Linked DNA regions of Styela clava. The protein of the gene in region 1 purifies or fractionates together with the protein of each later gene. This does not show direct contact. Links are inferred from orthologs where the notes say so. Each region holds a gene or a part of one and is shown on either strand. Other genes may lie near its edges.

The links.
Region 2: the proteins of methylosome subunit pICln-like (region 1) and H/ACA ribonucleoprotein complex subunit 1-like purify together in Homo sapiens (affinity purification with mass spectrometry; 3 studies listed by BioGRID and IntAct, counting the BioPlex papers as one, with this or other methods). This does not show direct contact. The link is inferred for Styela clava from reciprocal best matches to the Homo sapiens genes CLNS1A and GAR1.

Annotation. Positions count from the first base shown.
Region 1 is NC_135259.1:18,960,190-18,964,126, reverse strand, and holds the start of methylosome subunit pICln-like, read left to right. Parts: upstream 1-1,231; coding exon 1,232-1,432; intron 1,433-2,284; coding exon 2,285-2,884; 3' UTR 2,885-3,937. UniProt on the Homo sapiens protein: Involved in both the assembly of spliceosomal snRNPs and the methylation of Sm proteins.
Region 2 is NC_135253.1:15,137,262-15,140,579, reverse strand, and holds H/ACA ribonucleoprotein complex subunit 1-like, read left to right. Parts: upstream 1-1,564; 5' UTR 1,565-1,618; coding exon 1,619-2,212; 3' UTR 2,213-2,747; downstream 2,748-3,318. UniProt on the Homo sapiens protein: Required for ribosome biogenesis and telomere maintenance. Part of the H/ACA small nucleolar ribonucleoprotein (H/ACA snoRNP) complex, which catalyzes pseudouridylation of rRNA.

The DNA.
Region 1 (3,937 bases):
CCCTCTCATAAAATTGTCTATACCCCTTGTGGGGCGCGCTCCACCTTCTGGGAATCACTGTCATAGAGATAGTTCCTAAACTGAAGTTCTAATAGCACCCTTATATATTGCTTTTTGGCTTGTAAATGCACATTGAAATCTCATTGTACTACAGGCGATTAGTGTCTGTACATACAGTGTTTTCCTGGAAATAAGAAGACAGGGGCGTATTTCAATTTTCCTCCAAAATTAACACTTGGGCTTATTTTTGGTGGTTTTGGTATTTTTCATTTATCAATAAGGGGAGGGCTTATAATAAAATTTCAAAATGTAAATTTTTTAAAATCAGGCTAGGTCTTATTTTCGATAAAACACAGTGATTACACTAAGACTATAGGATCACCTCAAGAGTGGATCAAACTCTAAAAAGCAATTAGCCAAGTAAATATATCAAACACATTTTCCTGGTTGATAGACCAGATATCCTTTTCCACTGGTGTGGATTTCATGTTGTCTCCGCATTATCCAGGATACAAAAAAAATCCTGTTGACACTAAAGACTCCCATTCAAATTAATATCTTTTAAGAGTCCTTGTTCAGGAATTTTAGGTCTATTTCCTTGTTATAATATGTGATTTATTATCGTCACTCAAGTACAAATTGTTTGAAATTTTTAGGGGATGTAACTTGAGCTAGTTTCATTTAGTATTAATGAAATATTTTCCTTCTACTTGTGTGTGTGTAATGCAATCATTTGAACCTTGCTATAATTTATTTTTTTAATGCAGTTGTATCTAATGCCTAATAGTCATTTTTAATGAGTTGGAAAATTTTTTGTACTTTTTCTATAATTATATGTTGGATTGCATGGAGAAATATTCTATAAAAATGCCATTGCATGTTGCATGGACTGTTTGACATTTATACTATCCTTTAATAAAGCTGATGTTATGCTTTGCTGGTGTACCCTGTGCTAATTGCTTGTATTCTACTAAATGCATTTGTGATCTTGGTCAAGTCCATGCATCTGGAAGAAAATCTAGTTAATTATTTTCATACCCGGCCTGAAATGATAACTAGATGAGCGAGTTTGCTTTGCCATATGATTAAGCCCTTTTTCACTTTCCACCCGCCCCCAGTATAAAATGTTATAAAAACCTCTCCTAGTAGCAAAAAACTTTGATGAGAATCGTGGTATAATGTATTTTGAATAAAATCTATTATTTGAATCATAGTTTATGCCAGATACAAAATGTTGCCTCGAGTTGTCACGCCTGATACAGGAATTCAACATACGGAACAAAATTGCAGAATCAACATAAACTCTGATGACAGAGGAAGTGGAACGTTGTATATTTCAGAAGAAAGATTGATCTGGGAGAATCAGGAGCATCGTGGACTGTCACTCGGTTATAAAGATATCGCAATACATGCCGTCTCTAAAGATTTACAGGTATTCAGTTGTACGCTTGGTATTCAATGAACTGTGGTTGCCATGGTTACCCCGCCTGCCTGTCTAGAGTTGTTTTCTTCCATTAACAAGAGTGACACTGGGGTAATGGGTCACCTAAATGTATCTTCAGAGTCTGAATTCCTTATAGGTGACGGTGCTTGATAACCATCACTGGTTATTGTGCTCCCTGCATACTGAAATTCATTTTTTTATCTGTCATAGTTATAATGTACAATGTGTACTTTCGACATGTGATAAAATAAACTACTGACTGACTGTATAATAGCTGTCATATCTTTAGAATATTTTATACCTTGGCTGTGAGAAAGTCCACAGACAACTAGTTGATCAGATATAAGGTTTGGCACGGTTTATGACAACCAAGACTGCGGCGTCTGAGAAATCCACAATTGCCAGTGACTAGTCGATTCTAGATTAAATGCGACTCTGGGTTAATAAAAATTTAGACCTTAGGCTTCAGCTACGAACTCTGTGAAACAGGACTACTAATCAATACAATTTGCGGAATTCGTCTTTCAGGTGTAATGTAATCATGTTATAATTTGGCTTTGTACATTTCTGCCATCATACTACTGGGTGTTAAAAAAGTAACGCAAAATAAACAGAAGTTTGGATGAAATGCTACTTGGTACGTTTAACGACTGATATCTTTCAAAAGTATTGAATTATGGTGAAATGCCATTTAAACATTTCACGTCTGATGCTTTTTAACAGTTACTTTTTTAACGCTGCCATGCCGAAAAATCTTTTTTAACACCCTGTATTTTCCATACCTTGAAGGTTATGGTTTTAGATATAATTTATTCAGTGTATAATCTTGTGATTTTCCAGGCATTTCCTGAAGAATGTCTTTACGTAATGTTCAATGGTGAGATTTGTGAACCGGTTGTCAATGGCAACGGACAGACAGAAGAGTACGATTGTGCAGATAACGAGTTTGCTGCTGACACAAGTGGTACAATATCAGAGATCAGATTTATACCAGTATGTAAAGACAATTTAAAACGAATGTTCGATGCAATGAGCGACTGCCAATGTCTCCATCCGGACAGTGAGGATAGCGATGACTATTATGGAGGAGATGGTGACAGTGAGGAGCAAAACTATGAAGGGGCTATGTACCCCCCTACTGTTTACAATGGCGGTGCGGGGGAAGGATTTTATACTTCTGAAGAAGGCTTACAACATTTAACGCCTGCAGGGCAAGCAACATTAGCAAGACTAGAGAATATGTTAGCAGATTCACAAATTTCTGAACCTGAGGGGATTTCCCAAATGGAAGGGGTTCAGATTGAGGAGGAGGGCCCCATGAACACTGATGAGCCTCCTGTGGTAGGAAGGCCCCCTGTTGTCGATGACAACCCGCAGCAAGGTGCCCCTATTCTTCCTTCAGTGGAAGGACAATTTGATGATGCCGAAGACACTCATTGATCTGCTCAATGCCAGGTTTCTGATGTCTGTCGTGGTTGCGGAGCAGGAAAAGTTTACAATCAACGCTGCGGGTTGAAAAAATAACAATTTTCTCTAAGATTGTAAATAATTTTGACTCCAGTTTCTAACTTGGAGAAAAATTAATATTAATTGGTATTATGCAAGTCTCCTCCAATAGATACTCAATAGACCTAATACTCTTGGATTTTAATGGAAAAATTTGACTTATCATCGTCATTGAGTGGGTAAAATTACAGGGAAAACATCCCAAGCTCTGACCTCCTACTCTGCAGCTTAGGTTATTACCACCAAGACTGAGTTGAGAACAATTGCATATCTTATTTGTTACTTGGTTCAATTAAGACAGGGGTTTTATTAATTAAACCTTTGTTCTCTCATTTACTTTTTTCACAAATTTCGAAGTTAAAATTTACCTCTTCACGACTCCACTCTTTATGGATGTTCATGGAGTCCCTTTACAATTTTAATTTTGGTATGAAGTCAGTTCTTAACCAGGTTTGTTGTTTTTTTTTATCAGTCAATTTTCAAGTATTTTTACTTCATTTAATAATACATGGGCCGGAACAATATGTGGTATTGATAAATTCCCTTCCAACTTCGAAAGTCTTTAAAACTTGATGGACACCCCATACTTCTACACATATCTATAAGGACTCAATTTTAAAGTAAATAGTGCACATAGGCTTTTTGAATTGAATGTGTTCACATTACTATATTTCAATCGTATATCAATTTAACCCTCCTGTATTAATAAAGGTTGCAAACACCTAGTTTAACACTCTGATTCAAATATATCAATCAAAATCTAAAATATCAAACAACTCAGCAATCTTTGTGATTGAAACAACACCTGATGTTTTTAATTGCTTAATCGTGATCCGCATGTTTATCACGTCTCCCTTCACACTGAAATGCATTTTTGTTCTTAATTATGTTTGTACAATGTGTACTTTCGGCATGTAATAAAATGAACAAGACTGATATATTCCTTTCCCATCTCATTTACCTTTATTATATTCTTTTCTAAGCAAT
Region 2 (3,318 bases), on another chromosome or scaffold:
ATTACAATAAATGAAAAAGAACAATTATACAATATATTCGGGAGGGGGAGGGCAAGACTGCAAGGTCAACTACGTCGACCGACCCCTAAAAAAAGAAAAATTCTTATTATGACAAGACATTCGGGAGTCAGCCCTATTTTGACACCCCCAATATGACTTCTATGCTAACAACCCTCTCTATCTGGGAGATATCGCGTGTATCTACCAGACAGACAAACAAACAAACAGACATACCTATCAACATACTTGTCGATAAGTAACAAAGCATCATCCGGACTGCGATCGTTGTATTTAGTACTGTATATATTGACGTTCAATATACAAGAGGAATTTTAGTTTATACGAGGTAGACAGAAACTGTTTCAGCAAAACTTATAAAGAACAATCTTTACGTACGCCATAAAAATGTATTTTTGCATTACAAACTGCAGAAAGATGATCATTTTGACGCGTTGGAGATCACGTTTGGCAATGAGACGTCAGACTCCAGTCACCACTCTCCAATTCGCACGTGTTTTGTTACGGATGACTTAATACAGTTTTGCCGGCTGAAGAAATTTTTTGCATTGTGAAAAAAAAAGATTTCTATAAAATAATATTTGAGTATAAGTCAACAGCTTTTAGTCAGTCAAATTGTCAGTAATGTCATATCTTTATTTGGATATGGTTTAAACATATTCAATTGAGTTTTGTTTTTTCTTTTGTTTTCCTCTCTGTTAGTTTTGTTAATTTATTTTCGGTGTATGCTACTTCAGCTCAATTTCGTTTAAAAAATGGTAATTTTATATTTTTTTAAAGGCTGTGACTGACTCGATGACCTAACGGTCGCTTCGTCACAGCCTCGTCACAATGCCTTGGAAATTAATTTTGAAATGTTGTATGTTGTATTTTGATTTTGACATTGTTGACGAAATAAAATACTACTACTACTACTATTAGCATGCTCTAGGCTGGTCAACTTTTCGAGTTGCTTCGACGACCTCACAGCTCAATCTAATAACTGAATAACCTAAAAAACAAAAATAGTCTAGGCCTATCATGTCTGTCACTTTCGCAGACATGACACTAGTATGTACATGAGGACAGTAGATTGAGAAGACAAACCATGGTACCCCCGTAGTATGTGCACCAGGTTAGGCTATAATTTCAGGTGCAAATACTATGGGAGTGATTTGGCTAGTTCCCAAACTCGTAATACTGTAATAGAACTAAAATAAGGATAATTGGAATAAAATTATGCCCTAAACCTAACCTGTAGTTACTACGTTCTGCTGTCTGCCATCTTGGTGCTCATACTACGGGAGCGCTCAAATCATTAATGAAAATCATCTTTTAATATTCGTTCTAAAATTTAGATAAAATGTCCGTCAAATGGCTAGCAATTCTTTCTTGTTTGATAATCATTCAATTTGGAATTGCGGGCTTATGCTTCATGTTGATGTAAATAAAACTTCGAGGAATGAATCAAATTGGTCACTATGTAATTGATAAATTGGATGATGATTAGATAATTATTATTATCTTGCTTATCTTTCACATTATTTCTAACATATATAAATTTCCAATCTTTTCATCCAGCGTACACCTAAATTTTTTCACATAGCTTTTTGAGCTGAAGATGTCTTTTCGTGGTCGGGGACGTGGTGGAGGTGGATTCAACAATCGTGGAAGAGGAGGATTTCGTGGCGGAGGACGAGGAGGTGGTCGAGGTGGAGGAAATTTCAACAGATATTCAGACGAACCACCAGAATGTGTCGTTGAACTTGGTAAATTGATGCACACTTGTCAAGATGAACTTGTATGCAAATGTACGAATGAAAAAATACCATACTTTAATGCACCAGTTTACTTGGAAAATAAGTCAAGAATCGGAAAAGTTGATGAAATATTTGGACCAATTCGCGACTTTTGTTTCTCCGTCAAACTAGCGGATAATATGAAAGCGAACTCTTTTTCTAAAGAATCAAAGTTTTACATTGATCCAATGAAGTTGCTTCCGCTTCAGAGATTTTTACCAAAACCTCCCGGGTCTGTGCAAAAGGGTGGTAGAGGAAGAGGTGGTGGACGTGGAAGGGGGGGTGGCCGTGGCGGAGGATTTCGAGGGGGCCGAGGTGGTGGTGGTTTCAGAGGAGGCCGGGGTGGTGGAGGCTTCAGGGGTGGCCGAGGTGGGGGATTTAGGGGTGGTCGTGGTGGTTTTCGGGGTAGAAGGTGATCTCTCCATCAGTGTGGAAATTTTTTAATCATTGCACTGAAATGGTGAATTGCCAGAACAAAAGGCTTTATTCCTATTTTTGCATTCATAAATTCAATCATACAAGAACATTGAAATATTTTTTTTCTATAATGTATTGACCGAACTGCATTTTCTCATCAAATTTACGTATTTGTACAAATGCAAAAGTCATATCAGCCAATTATTTGGGGAAACTTTTGTTATTAGTTGTCTGTTTTAAGCATATTTGGATAATGGTGGAACATGCTTCTAGATTTTTTTTGATATGCTGAATATATGGGTAATGCGACTTCTATTTCTAAATCATAATAAGAGTTATTCATTGATATCACGGTTATTGAGTCTTGAACAAAATCATGCATAGGCACAAATAATAAATTGAACTAATGGTTTTCCGTTCTGCTTGGATATATGGAAAGTACCTTTTTAGGTAAATATCAAATTTTTTCAGTTCAAATGTGAAACTGCCATTTTTAACATTATGTCAATAAATTTTTCTCTTATTGATTGTGTATATAGTGGTGTTATTGATTATGGGAAAAAGTCTGGCATTATAGATGATAGTATTGCAGTCAGAACGAATCGCTGAATTCGAAAAAATAAGACTGAATCATACTATAAGGGTAATAATTAATTTTCAAGCCAAATTACCCAATTAACATTTTTTCCCACCAACTATAAGTTAAAGTAATCAATTAACGATGCTGCTTATCAGGTAACTGATAATAAATTGTGCTGTAAAGCTAGTTTTGGGAGAATGGATTACTTCGGCTGCAGATATCTGCCTCCATATTCAGAAGTTGTTTTACTCTTTCTAGATGCTATTCAGGCTTTGTTGCGTCAAAAATCAGGTTCATGCTTCTTAAGAAAGTAACATATTGTAGATTGCTGCCGTGATCCACCAAACTAATACAATGGTGTTATCGAACTTATATGTATCGCCAATAATCATTGTTTGCTCTCATATCCCTGAACTCATTTTATCAATATTATATATAGCCAGTGTTACCACCCCTGGGTCACAAGTCTAGCTACGAGTGAAAATGAGAAATAAAACTTCCATCTTTTGTTCAACAAATATTTTG